Lepisosteus oculatus: one gene and its partner. The protein of the gene in region 2 interacts with the protein of the main gene of each other region in a biochemical or structural test. Links are inferred from orthologs where the notes say so. Each region holds a gene or a part of one and is shown on either strand. Other genes may lie near its edges.

What was found. The genes of interacting proteins can lie anywhere in the genome.
Region 1: the proteins of glmna (region 2) and fkbp4 form a complex in vitro, tested with the Homo sapiens proteins (2 studies listed by BioGRID). The link is inferred for Lepisosteus oculatus from reciprocal best matches to the Homo sapiens genes GLMN and FKBP4.

The regions. Positions count from the first base shown.
Region 1 is NC_090702.1:11,471,036-11,478,367, reverse strand, and holds the start of fkbp4 (peptidyl-prolyl cis-trans isomerase FKBP4), read left to right. Parts: upstream 1-4,326; 5' UTR 4,327-4,665; coding exon 4,666-4,758; intron 4,759-7,332. Other genes in the region: ATP-dependent DNA helicase DDX11, read right to left, coding at 10-161, 854-940, 1,191-1,421, 2,342-2,470. UniProt on the Homo sapiens protein: Immunophilin protein with PPIase and co-chaperone activities. Component of steroid receptors heterocomplexes through interaction with heat-shock protein 90 (HSP90).
Region 2 is NC_090704.1:1,685,412-1,693,056, forward strand, and holds the start of glmna (glomulin, FKBP associated protein a), read right to left. Parts: upstream 3,022-7,645; 5' UTR 2,934-3,021; intron 2,933-2,933; exon of another isoform or gene 2,872-2,932; intron 2,572-2,871; exon of another isoform or gene 2,551-2,571; intron 1,656-2,550; 5' UTR 1,613-1,655; coding exon 1,574-1,612; intron 1,320-1,573; coding exon 1,194-1,319; intron 77-1,193; coding exon 1-76. Other genes in the region: putative RNA polymerase II subunit B1 CTD phosphatase rpap2, read left to right, coding at 3,048-3,099, 3,631-3,676, 4,054-4,168, 4,637-4,735, 4,872-4,937, 5,300-5,388, 6,313-6,348.

The DNA of each region.
Region 1 (7,332 bases), on a different chromosome or scaffold from region 2:
CCAACCCACCTTCTCTTCGGCACTGCATTATCATCGTCGCTCTCATAGACGGCCACAATCACCTCTTCTTCCCCTTCTTCAAGGACGTCACCACCCTCCGCAGTCAAGGCCTCCTTACTGAGCTTCAGCAGGCGAACTGCCTCTTCATCCTCACTGTCTTGCTAACACCCATGAAGGTTAACATTCATTAGAGGAAATGTGACTCCAAATCTGTACAAAGGGCTACACATTGATTCCAGATCTGTCCAAAGGGCTACACATTGATTCCAGATCTGTACAAAGGGCTACACACGTGCTACACTTTACTGTTGCAAAACAGGACTTGCACTCAAACATGCCATACAAAAACAAGATTAAATTTGTATTACTCACATTTAACAGCAGCAATGCTGCTCAATATCATTAACTCAAAACATTGGATAAAGTGTAATTACAGTAGATATTTATCAACAGGACATTTTGCTAAGATGATTTAAGACATTAAAACGAAGAAGAAACAAGGATAATAATATTTTACCTCCAGCATTAACTGAAACCCAGAAAAACACACATTTTTAATTCAAGTGACTTTAATGGACAATGGTTCTCCTAATCCATCTATGACCAACACGTTAACTAACTCAGTGCCTCCCTCTGTGTAACACACCCTCCCCTTACTCAAGCAACACCAAAATAGGTTTTGCTTAAACAGCTCTGAGCTAAAATGACAATTATATTAGTTATTAAACAAAACACACAGAAAATATTTTCTAAAGATATGCTTCATTAACTGGCACAGAGAAATGAGCAATAAGCGTAGTCTTTTGTCTAAAGACCACTCCTGAGGAGCTGGCAAACCCAGCGACAGTCATACCTTGCGTTTCATTGTGTATTTGAGCTTAGCGTTACGTCGCATCAACTCCAAACGTTCTTCCCTTCTCTTCCTCTTCAACTCATCCTCCTAGACAGAGAAAAGAAAATCAGGATATCTCCTCATGTAGTTTCTTATGTAAAGTGAAAACAGATGTCAAAGGAAGCTTTGATGCTTCAGTCAGTCAGTCCCATTGGTATTTTGGCACTGCTAACAGACGCAAACATGCCTTGTGGAACTGATTATATTTTTTACTGAAAAGTTCCTGATCTCATTATTCCCTAGAGAGTTCCCAATCTTAATCCCTTTAAACTGTTTCTTCAAACTTTTTTATTAATACCTTTAATTTGCTGACCAGATCTCTCTCCGCCTTCTTCTGCACGAAGTCTGTGATCCAGTTGGGCTCTGCAGAGTCTGAGCTCTCCTGGCTCTGGGAAGCCTGTTGGCTCCCTGCAGAGCTGTCTGTAGCAAGGTCCCCAGACTCTAGCAGGCGAGCTGTCTCCTGCCTCTTTCTCTCCTCGTAGTCCCTCAACCAGGTGAGGGCACCACAGATCAGACTGAGAGACTTCCCCTGGAACACAGAACAAGTGGGTCGGAAGCTTGCTCAGCTTCAAAAAGATTGAGGGTGTAGCTTATTCAGCTAGCAGCTCACCGTGCAACTCACAACTGGCAATCTGCTGAAGATTAGCCTGGCCAGTAACTGGATGGGAGACCTCCTGGGAAAGGACGAATTGTAAAACCAGGGTCCTGACTCTGCGTGGTCATTAAAAATCCTAGGGCCCAGGGCGTTTCTCAGAAAGAGTAGGAGTGTTACCCCGGTGTCCTGGCTAAATTTCCTCCTGGCCTTTACCAATCATGGCCTCCTAATAATGAATTTGTGAAATAGTGCCGCTCATTCTTAGTTATACAGTAAATGCACTTCCTCTTTATTTCCACTTGTGTCCTTTGGTTTGGGTTTCACTGTTTATTGTGAAAAGCCCACTTGGGTTTACTTCATCAATGCATTTTAATTAGCAGAATTCCCCTCTTTCAGGAACAGTATATACCCCTTTTTTAACCTAGATACTTCAAACCATATTATCCAAGTGAGAGTCCACAGGCAGCCTATTTAGCAAAATGTCTTTATGTTGAATATGTGATATTAAAGATTATATATTTAATTTAGCTGACATTTATTAAGCATGACCCATGTATATAAAGGGAATAATGGAATAACCAAAATCTATGTTTTATGCAGAATATATCATATATTGACAGTCCTTGAAAAAATCCCAAAAAAGATTCATAATGAGAGACCTCTGAATTCACACACTGGAAAGCTTACTCTGTCTCAACATTAGGACCTAACAGCAATTCAGGAGCTGACAACATTGTGTATCAGGCTCACTTTACTGGAGACAAATAATGACTGTGTGAACATGTCAGCAATATATAGTTATTATTCTTTGAGCTGGACAGGGGTAAACCATGGAAATAAGACAATTAACTCACTGTTCCAGTAGGGCTCTCAAAAATGCCAACCTTTCCTTCATCTAATGCAGTGTACAAAGCCTCCATGAACTGCTTCTGGATGGAGTATGGTTGGTATGGAAATGGGAACTGTATAGGTCCATCTGCCATCTTGAAGCAGACTATGTTAAGAAAGAGAAGTAGCACAGAAAAGAAGCACAGAAAAAACACATAAATCATACTTTATTCTGTCCTCATCCCCATACATGGAAGCAAAGGGCTTACACATTTTGAGTACAAGTGTACAGAGTACCCCATACTGCTCTAGTAGAACTGCACACAATGACACAGACTCCCACGAGGTGGTCCACTAAGTAGAGGAGTCTGTCTAGGATTGTACAAATGTTATTGGGGTTCTTGTCTCATGACTGTCAAGATTTACACAGGAACTGTGTACTAGGCCACCACTTCCAGAGTAATCAGCACTGTTGGATAATTACCCCCGGCACAGAAACAAGTTCCTCCTGGAGAGCTTTCTTGTATTTTCTGTCAAAGGTTAAACATCCTCCACTGAACACGATAACCAGCCGATGCCCAAAACCCAACTCACACCACCATAGACTTTAATGTGTTCTATAGATGGTCTAAGAATTCAGTCCTACCACATTGCAACAGTATAGTGAAACCTAAGACAACAAAGTTTTCCAGGAAACGTTTGAAAAAAAATGTCTCTGTGCTTCCAGTTTTCCTAAACAAATGCAGCCTCAATGTTATCATAAAATTTTAAACATGGCTATAATTATAAAAAACTAAAGATCCATAGTGATTACTCCGTAGAAAACTATAACAAAACTCGCAAGCATAATCTAAATAAGATGAGAACAGTCATCAAATGAATGGATGCCTTAAAGTTCGGTCTAATTCTGAACCGGATCAATGACCAGCCAATCACCGCTCGTGTGACGTCAAGATCGTCCAATCACTGACTGCAGGTCAGACATCAATGGCAAGATATTACGTTTAAACAAGCAACTTCTAAAATTAAACCCATTGTTTAACATTGATTTAACGAGAAATGATTAGTTCCCTGTTTGTCTTCCGTTTGTCTTCTATGGGTAAGCAAACTCAATTATCAAATATATAAACATGCATAAAATCCACCGCGAAGATTGACCAATTCAGCACACAGCAATACACGGACATAAATATACTCAGCTACTTGTAAACGTAAGGAATAATCTGTTGAAATATTCACCGAGTAGTGTGCAGTACGATAGCCGCTGTTCTTGCTGGAGGGCTCACGCTGTTGCAAAGAGCGCGCCAAGTGCTGGGGTAAAATCAGCCAATCACAGACACCCCCGCGATGAACGGAAGGGCTCAGATTACAGCCGGGTTAGGCAAAAAAGTGTTAGTCATTACCCCCAACAATTAAACATATCAATGATTTATTCAAAGCATTCATTGGAATCGTTTTCTCATCTCACAATTCATATGAATAATGCTCTGTGTTGTTACACATACAAAAAATGTATGTGTAATATAGATCGATATATCGTTTTCCTTCTTTTCCAAACTGAACCATTTAAGAGAAAAGGGAGTGTCTACAAAGTTTTAGATCAGGTAAATGAATTAAGTCCTTTAAAAACATACCTACTAACTGTTTGGATTAATGTTTCGTTTACTTTCAGTGCAACAGCCGTTGCAAATTTGTAAACTTGATGATATTTTCAGAACAGGAACACGATTTACTTCCATTTCTTTTCCTAAAACTCATCCATTAATTGTCAGCCCGGTGAAACAATCCTCGCTACTGAAATAAACATGCGTTTAACCGTTTAAACATTTAAACATGATGTATATTCATATTCCCCGCAGCACGTTAAAACCATGAGAAAAGTTTCTGAATTTGCCTAAGCTGCTAATGCACAAGAAGGTTTGCGTTTTTTTCGCGTGTGGAGATATTGGAAGCGACCCCTGGCGCAGGCTACAGTTCAGCCCGGCGCGGCTCTGGAAAGTTCTGTGCCCGTCCTCCTTCGGGGAGCTTGATAGACGGCGCTCGACTGGCAGCCCTGCAGTACGAAGCACACCGCGCGTAGTTCGCAGACGCCTCTGATGCGGACTTTTCGGAACACTGAGATTGCTCTCTGATAAGAGATTTTAAGTCGGCTGCGATTTAAATATATAGTTTATATTTTGTAACAATAAGCTATTGCTTTTGTGTGGATCGATTCCGACACAGGAACAAGCGGCAGGTTTATATCGCAGGTGTTTAAAATTGATTAAAGAGAAAGGGGGTCTGGCGATATCTCCATTCTAGCTACTGAGATCTGAGATTCGGTTAGAATTGCCGTTACAGGTCAGGCGAAATGACTGCAGAAGAAGTAAACGCCGAAGGACAGCAAACGACCCAGATGGAGGGGGAAGACATTACCCCGAAAAAAGATGGAGGAGTTTTAAAGGTAAATAATCTGAATGTATAAAGTGCACGTAGTAGTAGGAAGAGTGATTAATAGCTATTACATAGCTGACTCGTTTTTAATAACGTCTTAATAAATGCGCTTAGTCACCCTGCTGCTAGAAACTCGGTTTTCTGTGAACATGTAAGCCTTTGATTTCCCATAACGTTTTGCATAACTCTATGGTTTTATCTTCATTTGCTCTGCAGTTGGCCCGGTGATTTTTACGTATTTATCCAGACCTTAATAATCGATTCCTAAATACCAAATTGATTACCATAATACTTGGTAAAAAAAAATGAATGGGTATGTGGCTAGTTTGTATGTAAAGGGACGGATTTTTACTCTGACTTTGCAACGTTGAGGAGCTATAAAACCACTCGTAAATACTGCATTAATATTATTAAATAATATCTCGGGGGTCGCAAGGGCAAGTGAAAATTTAGAATGTCCTTATATTCCATGCCTCTACGTTGAGTTGATATTTAGAAATGTTCTGCAACTTTTCTCAGTGCAACCAAATCAGAATTTACTTTCTCAGCAACTACAGGTATTAAGACTTAAACGTCGGAAAGCGAGTAAATGTCACCAACTTTCAAACTGCAGAAAGTACACTGCCCTGGACTTTTCGCACTGAAAAAGTATTTGCGCAGTCACCTTCTTAAATCGTTCTGCAGTCGAATTGTAGCATCTTACTATGTGTTCCACCAATGCCTTCCCCGTTTTTAGACGAATTTAGTTTCATTGGCTTTGAAATTTGAGAATTAATGACTTCCTGCCCTCTTTGTTGCTCTACCGCCTGCGTGTCTGGGCGCACCGCGAGTGTGGTGTTGGTGCGGCTGGAAGCTCCGAGGGTTTTCTAGAACACTGGAACCCCCACGTGCAGGATCTGTCCACGCCGAGAGCAAGATCGCTTCCGTGTCAGTGTTCAGAACTAAGTTCACAATGTCGTGTGTTGACAGGCTTCCTATTGACCAATAGGAATATTGTAATATAATAGTAGTAAACGTCCGCATACCAAATAAATCTAGAATTTCAATCCATTTCAGTTTCTGGACTGTTGGCTGTGAAGTTAATTGACACCTCAACCTGCCAAACCTGAATTCCATATGACAGATCCGTTACAGCGCTTTGAGAAGCCACCTTTAAAGGCGCTATATAAAATAAAGTTTATTATTATTATTTTAATTTTAAGAAGGTGATAAAAGACCTCTTCCTTATTAAAGCGTTGTCTTAATCTATTACCCAGAATTGGAAGATTAATCTTAAAATCCACCTGTTTAACTGGTAATCCACCAGCTACATTTTTGAAAGAAGGTAGATACCTTTTTAAAGATGATAAGTGGAATCAGTCAAACCAGACAGGAAACAGTTTGTGCATCTGTTGAAGATTTTAAACATACTACATTAAAATTCTATACAACATTGAAAACACATGATTAGTTTGAAACTTAACAAAGCATTAAATGGAGAATTAGGCCTAGTGGTTATCTATTAAGTTAATCATGAACATTTATGCTATTTTGTTAATCTTGGACAGTTTGAACTATTGTTTTTCAATGCTTACATATAGTTTTACTTACTGTCAGATTATCCCTAATGTACATGATTGGATGTTTTCATTATCTTTCAATGTGAAAATTAGCATAAACATAATAAGAGAACAAATGTGTTGGAATTGCTTAAGTTTTATTAACATTTGCCATATATGAGCAGTATTATTTATTTGTATTCGTTTTGATTCTTAGGTGATGATAATGAGATGACTGTACAACACAGCATAGCATGTCCCTTTGTGTTTATTTTGTTTAAAATTACCCATTACAGCTCTGTGTACAGCGTTGTGATCACCGTGGTCACTCCTAGACCAGAGTTCTGGGCAACCTTTGAGGCTACCAGGTCTCATATTGTGAAATAAGGTTATTGCAGTTGCACTTGTCTTTCCACCAGCCTCAGGAGAGTGGCTGACCCTTTAGCATAGTGCATGTTTCACACTTTGTCTGCTTCTCAGAGGAGCCCAAAATGGTGATCCCATGTAAGATCTGTCCACATGGTAGTAGGTGTCATAATACATAATAATAATAATAATAATCATTGCTTACACTTACATAGCGCTTTTCTGGACACTCCACTCAAAGCGCTTTACAGGTAATAGGGACTCCCCTCCACCACCACCAATGTGCAGCATCCACCTGGCCATAGTGCGCCAGAACACTCACCACACATCAGCTATTAGTGGGGAGGAGAGCAGAGTAATGAAGCCAATTCATAGATGGGGATTATTAGGAGGCCATGATGTAAGGGCCAATGGGAAATTTGGCCAGGACGCCGGGGTTACACCCCTACTCTTTTCAAGAAACACCCTGGGATTTTTAATGACCACAGAGAGTCAGGACCTCCGATTTACGTCTCATCCGAAGGACGGCACCTGTTTACAGTATATTGTCCCTGTCACTGAACTGGGGCATTAGGACCCACATGGAGCGCAGGGTGAGCGCCCCCTGCTGGCCCCACTAACACCTCTTCCAGCAGCAACCTTAGTTTTTCCCAGGAGGTCTCCCATCCAGGTACTGACCA
Region 2 (7,645 bases):
GGCTCTTCTCATCCTTCTGCAAGATGACCTGCACCAGCGGGCCCAGCAGGTTCCAGCCCATGCTCCTCACGATCGCCTGCAAGAGGACAGTTCTCTTCAGGGCCACGCCGCATCGGACGCCTTTTTTAATTCCTCAAATCATTAATTCACCAATATTTCTGATGACGTACCCACCCCATCCTAAATTGCCCTTTCTTACGGCTCCTGACCGGAGACCGACCTGCCCCTGTAGACGCTGTGTGTCTCTCGCTGCCCTGCTGCAGGGGGCTTGGCCTTGTTGGCCAGGCTTTTCCTGGTGGACCGCCTGTCACAGTCATCCGGAAACAGGCCCGAACCGGCAGTGTCTGGGCCTTAATGGGTCCCCTGCACTTCAAACTTGCACATTTACCGGTTCAAACATACGACAGCAGGTGTCGGCACCTCGTTCCCGGGCGCCTCAGGGAGGGCCTGGAACGAATCCCTCTCAGCCCTGCTAAGAAATCCAGCGTCTCCCTGCTATTGTTTCCCCTTCACAAGCTGCAAGCCCACCTGCTACAGCAGCGGCACAGGTTTTAATTCTCTCCTCTGATGTGCAAGATGTTTCCAGAAAACCAAAAATCTTGCTCGTTCAATATAAATCAATCCACTGCCATATGTGACGTTTCTCATTTTTATAAGTGACTTACCATTACAGCCTGGTGTTTTAAGAGACCTCTGATTTGTGCTCTGAAGCAATTGGATTTTGAAAATGTGCCTTTTAAAAGCATCTGCTCCTTTGTGAAAGGCAGACAGCCAGTATTAGAACACCAGGCAGTTTAAATACAAGAAAACCGTTTAACACTGGAGCACCCTTGAAGGACACCAGTGGAGCGAGAAATCAGACACTCTCCTGCAGCTCTCCGCTGGCACCTCAGGATCAACAGCAGGGTGTAACAGCCATGGCGCAGGCTGTGGCTCTCACTGCCAGGCACATGGAACAGTTCTTAAACCCTGCAGCAAAGCCTAGGTGCTGCGCTCTTATGCCTTTCTGTTAGAACCCGAAATCTTCAGGGGACACTACAAGTACCGAGCAGCCATGTGCTTTCCTCCCCTTCAAACTACTTTGGTGGGGACATCTTGAAAGCCTTGCTCCCAGTGCTGTCAGAGCTCTGTTTCGGTATTGCTCGGGAGTTGGACGTAACGTGCACCATTCAGCTCGGCATGTGCAGGCGGACCTTGTTTTTCTCATCCTGCACGACCTCCAGCACTTGTGCCGCGCCCCCTCGCTCCAGACAGGCCCGGCCCGCGCTCTGGAACTGCTCGTAGTCTTCCGGCTTGAAGCTGTCGTCAGCCAGCACCTGCTGCAGACAGGGAGCAGGCAGGGAGGGTGTAAAGCTGGAGGAGCACCAAATTAGCAGCACATCGACTTACGCAGACATAGAAGAGTCATCCCAAATCTTGAAATTAAGAGTTTTGAGAGGTTTCCTTTGGTGGAATTATTGAGTGAATCTTATCAATAGCAGGTACTGAAGCAAACGGCTGGGAAAAGTTTTTAAAAAGTTATTTTCAGCAGTGAAAGCTATTACTACAGAACCGCTTCATTGACGGTACTTACACATCTCTGCAACATGTCATATAGCTGCTCTAAGGCCATCTTCAGCGTCTTGAGGTCCAGGTGCCCCCCTCAGTGCCAGCACCTACAGGGTTTAAAAAGAGACATTTGAAACTCGGGTTCGAACCCGTGACCACAGAGCTCAACGCAAACTTTTAAGCCACATTTGGTCAACGCATGCCAGCTGTCCTGAAATGTGGACAGGCGTGTCATTTGAGGGGGATTGGACGTACATGCTGAACAGTCACAGGTGCCTGAAATACCTCCCAACTCGAACCGTGTCTTTGTGTGAACTGAAATTGAAATGTAAACATCAGACATTTGTAATATGATAACCGCCAGTGATCTTGGACACCCTGATGTGGATTTATGTAATTGTGCGTTTATAACAGGGTACAAGCAGCACAGCCCTATATCTGAGGTTCAGCAGCAATCTCTGGGGGGACGTGTCCCCCAACAACTGCACCTGGGAGGTCACAGGGGTCGCGGGGTCACAGAGAGTCGACTAACCCCACCATACCCGTATTCCCACAGCACTGCCCCTAGTGGATCCCAGTCACACGTTTTAAGCCAAATCATGCCAACGCACGTTAGCTGTCTTGACCTCTGAACTGAGGAGAGTTTCCTATCCTATTCCTTCCGATAGTTTGATAAAAGAAGTACAAGACACCACATTTTAATCAGCGCCGTCTTTCTTTTTCCCTGATATTTGTTAAAAGTTTCTTTACTCTTGCGGGCGATTCCCAGGTAATCTGTCTACAGAAAGCAAAGCCGGTACCGACAAGGTCAGCAGAGAGGTCTTAAACCTCTTACTGTGTTGCCTTCTATTGTGTGCGGATTAATAGGATTTACCGAGCACGGAGCAGCACTGCCTGTCCTAAAGATGGACTAATAGCTGTCCCCGGTGTCCCCGGAAACATCTAGAAAAGAGCAATTATTTGCAAACAGTTACAGACAACAAGTCACTGCACACAACTCACAACGACTGAATATTTAGCAAGATCATCAAGTGGAAAAGCATGATGATCGTAGTTCGCGTCTGGAATGCACGTCAAAGTCTGCGAAAGTCTGCCAACCACGTGGCTATGGGCTAAAAACAGCTGAACGATTTATTTGCGCCTAATTATCCTGGACGATAAAAATATCACGAATGCATGTCGCCACATTTTCATGATGCTGCGCGAAAGACCAAAACAAAGAAGCGCTGTCATGGCAGGGCAACTGTATCAAAACGACAGACCTCTGTCTTTCCCGGACACATGCGTGACTGATGATCTAATTTGACTACCAGCTATTATTACCCATCGTGTAGCAGACAGAGAGCAGAGACACGGTGTTGCTCTGTGCAAGGCGCTGTACTTACAGACAGGCAGGAGCGGCGCGTGTATTTAGGAAGTGCGCGCGCCGGCGCTGGCCCTGTCCGCGAGCCGTAGCGCCCTACGTCACGGGTCAAAGGTGAAGCGGAAGAACAACAAGCATGGAAGAGTGTCGGGGAGCAGCCGGCAGGTCAGCGGGACCTGGAAAGAAAGGTTAGTCGGCTTAATGCAGAGTTTTATTCCCCCCTCCCTCCCCTGTGCTGTTCACCTCTGCCACATCAGGCACTGGGAGCTCAGTGATTAAGAGGGACGGGTTGAAATACTGCCCCGCCCAGTACACCCCCTTCTGGAGCACAGAGTGCGCCGTTTCTCTGTCTGAAGCCGAAGGTATAAATAAGGTTTTCGTTTTTCTGTAGACCACTGTCGAAACACCGAAGCAGAGCACATTCCTGGGTGCGTGAATTGTGCTAGAGGTCTTGTTTCTTACACGTGTTACCCCTCGTAGCGACCTTTGAACTGAGCCTTGGAGTTCAACCTTAAAGGCAGCGTTGCAGCTCCTCCGCGAAAGCCCGCGGGCGCACAGCACGCCCTTCACAGCTGATCCGGACGTGACGCGTACAGTGAACGGTCTTCTGTTCCCTGATTATTGACGGGAACACGTGGCCGTGCTCAGCAGGGCGCGTCCGCGGAGGTGTGAGCGCTTGGCCGGTCCGTTAGCAGTGACCCAATGCGTGTGTTTTGCAGGTCGGACAGCGGTCAAGGCGCAGACAGCCTTGGAAGCTGCTAAAAGGTACTGGACTGCGGGGCTTGTGCAGTGTTGGGACATGACAGCAACGTGAAAAACCCGAAAACTTAAACTGAGCAGAAATGGGACCCATTCTGACAGTCAGTACCTCAAGGGGCTCCTACTTCCTTTCCCTCAGTCTTATGTCCATTGTTCTTCCACGGGCTTCGGTTCAGTGTGAAGTTATTTAGTCTATTTCGTTCATTTCCAGATATAACCATTGCTACATGAAAGCCGCACTCGGTGGCTCAGAAATAGAACCATTTCGTTTCAACCGCACCGTGTTTCACACTGTTTCCCACCCTCCATACCTTGCGATGAAGCGGTCGTACCTGAGCCAGCCTGGGCCTCGGTTTACAGCCCCTTCCTTTGACCCCGCGCAGGAAGGAGGCCCTGAAGGAGGCCGTGAGGAGGAAGCTGCAGCTGGAGCAGAGGGCCCTGCGCCTGGTGGAGGAGCTGCTGGAGGACAGCGTGACGGAGGACTTCCTGCTGGGCTGCGTGGGTGTCCTCCCGGGGGGCCGCGTGCTGCCTCGCTCTGCCCTCGGCTCCCCCTGGGGCCCGGGCTCGCAGCGGACAGGTGCCGCGAGGAGCGTGGGGTTGGAGCAGGGGGCCGCCTCCACGTTCCCGCCCCACGCTGCTCTGGGCGCGAGGGGCGGAGGGAGGGGGAGTGGGGAGCGTGATGGCGCTCAGATCCGAGGTGGCGGGAGGCCGATTCCCGAAGCGGACCGGATGAAAAGATGAGAGTCGCTCGCCTGGGGCCGCAGGGCTTCCGCACCCCGTCTGTTGGCCTCTGTTTAGGCTGACCTTCGCTCTCGGAGAGTGCATCACAGAGGGGAGGTCAGGTTTACCAGCTGCGGCCAACGGACCTGCACTACAGCTGTGGCACAGACGCATCTGGAGCAGTGTGTGTAATGTAGTGCAAAATTGCTGCCCGTCTGCCTAATGGGTCACTATTTATCATTCCAGGCAAAGTCCATTACTCCAGGAAACTACAGAGACGTCGTGGACGAGAGATCTATAGTCAAGCTGTGTGGCTACCCTGTCTGTCAGAACAAACTTGTGAACGTAAGACCTCACACTGCTCAGACACATCTATGAGACATTAAACATTGTCTCTTTTGTTTACCAGAAATGTGTTCGTCTTCTAAAATCCCCTTTTGTCAAATCTCTATATATGTATCTTCTTTTTTCATAATGACAGGTTCCCAAGCAGCAGTACAAAATTTCAACCAGAACGAATAAAGTGTATGACATCACAGAACGGAAGGTAAGGTGCTTTATTTTGTTTTGATTTTTTTAATAAAAAATACTCCGGCAGAATGTTTTGGGTGGCTTTTTGTCATAATCTTTGTGGATTTGACAACTCTAGAACACACAGCGGAGTTCTCTCCTGTGTCCTGTGCTTGAAGAGTGCGTGACGCTCTCTTTGTGCTGTCTTGTGCTCCCCTCTTAGTTCGGAGGTGAAAGACTTTGGATTCTCCAGCAAGAAATGGGAGCAACACCTCTTGTCTCCTTTCACTAAAAGCTGCAGAAAGTATCTGAAAATAAAGGATGATTTTTTTTAAATAAATTGCTATGTAAGTGTGACCTGTGTTTTGATACACAGTTGTTTTTTTTCCCCCCATTCAGTGTTTCTGCAGTAACTTTTGTTACAAAGCATCAAAGTATTTCGAAGGCCAGATCCCCAAGACTCCCCTGTGGTCGCGAGAAGAGGAGAGGTAATGGCAGCAGCACGGTGCAAGAAAGACGTGCTTCTTTATTCCACAGATTTGGGTGGGTGTGGAACCAGCTACCCAGCCATGTCGTTGTGCCAACGCCCCAGTTTCTTTCACGAGGCAGATGGACGGGGTCAATCCCTGTCCAACAGGCAAGATGGGCCGAGTGGCCTCTCATTTGTTACCTTTCAACGGTTTTTAAGAAAGTAACCTTGGCCTTCTCTGGGATCAAGTGACTGACAGAAGGCTCCACTGTGTCTTACTTGTATAGATATGCATCAGCTCTTATTGATAGAGCAGCTTTTTGCTGTTTAATAGCATTTTGTCATCGTCATTGTCAACCACACCACTGATATCGTACTTTTGTTTCCGTTGATCTTCTCTTTTTTTGATCGACGGGTTCTATATCTGTGATCAGTTTGACAAACCTCAAGGCTACCCAAAACCATTACATTGAGAGGTGCAGAATTGTGATGTTATAGTGGAGAGGTTTTTGAAAACTAAGACGAATTCAACAGTGTTTCAGTCAAAGGGCCTTCGTCATAAGGCATCATTTTGTTGCCGGAACAGTTGTGGTACTTTGGGATTTCTTCTGATTTAGGTTATCTGATGGTTTTATGCAAAGAGAACGAGTTTTATACTCATTGATACAGCTTGGTGGCTTACTCTCACAATCCAAGTGAGAGGCCTCGCACACAGACCTCAATGCCTCATCCAAGGTTTGAACCTAGAAATCTTGTTTCAGGAAACTGCAGAGGCTGAAGCCTTGCAGTTATGAGCTCGGATCCATAACTGCTCCTGCAGTTTCAGTTCAAAGCTCATCCTTCTCCTGTTGCAAAGCCAGTTTCCCCTCTGCTGGCATATAAGCTGCCTGGTTTCATGGCTGAACGGAAGTAACTTATTTACCCTTTCCGTTTTGTGTTGTAGCTTCCCAGATGTCACATTAATGAAGCAGGGCGAGAGGTATGTATTTAAGAGCTCGCTTTTGTTCCTGTCAGGGGAGAGGAAGTACTGGGGCGGTCAGAAGAAACATTTTGGTTACCTAGTTATTCTGAGGGCTGCAGTATGAATCTGTATGTCGACTATTTTAACCTGTTACTGTGGAGGTCATACTGGAGAGGCCACTTCCCTGTGTAATGTGAAACGGCGTGAAACGCAACTCCAAAAAGAGATTCAGATGAGTGTACTTTTCAAAATGTTGCAAAACACTGCTGCCTGAACCGACTGTCTGATCGAACAAGGAATGCTCCACTTGTTTTAAAGGGGCTCGGTTGTGCGGTTCTACCGAGACTCCGCGCCGAGCTCTAAAATGGAAACGGCGGCCTGGGCGAAAGTGACGCCTCCGGCCGCACGAACCGGTCCCGCTTTTATCAATCACCTCGGTAATACTGTTCAATACCTCTCGGATTGCTCGGCGACGCTGTCGGCACTGCCGGAAATCGCGAGCTTTCAGTGGCGTCCGACTTGGTCGATATTTTTGCGTTTCTTTGCGGCATACTGTCAAGAGTTTAGTTCCTCATAAACATGAGCAGCGTGAACAGATCTCACACAGGGCAGATATTTACGCACATGGCCGCGAAATGGTGCGAAACTCGGAGGGACATGACCCGTTCCCCCAGCCGCCGTCCCCGTTTCGAAGGGAGCTACCAGTCAGTGAGCTGGGGGGGAACAAACAACGAATAAATGAAGAAAAACTGCGTTTGGAGCAGAGGAGAATCGCAGAGTATTGAGTTACTGCGATGCGCCCTGCCGCCGGAACGTGACGAGGTGCCTCAGCTGCTGAGCTGGCCCGGGCGTCCGTGTAACACTATATCGACAGCAAGCACGGGCTTCCTGTGGCGCCCCGCTTGTACACAAAGCCGATTTTGCTTTTTTTGATCGGGGAGCTTTCGGATACGCGTCCAGATTTGCCGGTGAATGGGAGGAGAGGCGTGTTTGAACTGTTGGATTGAGCGGGCGGCGCTCCGCGCTATTGCCCAGCGATGACAGCCCGCGGCGGCCAAACCGCAAGGCAAACACGTCGCTGGCAGCCGGTTACCTCATGCTGTGTGTTTGCTTTCGTGCTTTTCATTGGGGGGTGGTGATTTGTTTTTTTAACAGTTTTCGGAACTTTGAAAATGGGGAAAAAAAACGTCCGGTGACAGAGGAGAGGGAGTGTGTAGGCGGCCGCAGCTCGCAAGCTGCCTTCATCTCCTAATCCCGACAGCTTGTCCGTGACTGGGAATACTGGTCTGCTGCCGTAGCGCACGGCCTGTTCTGA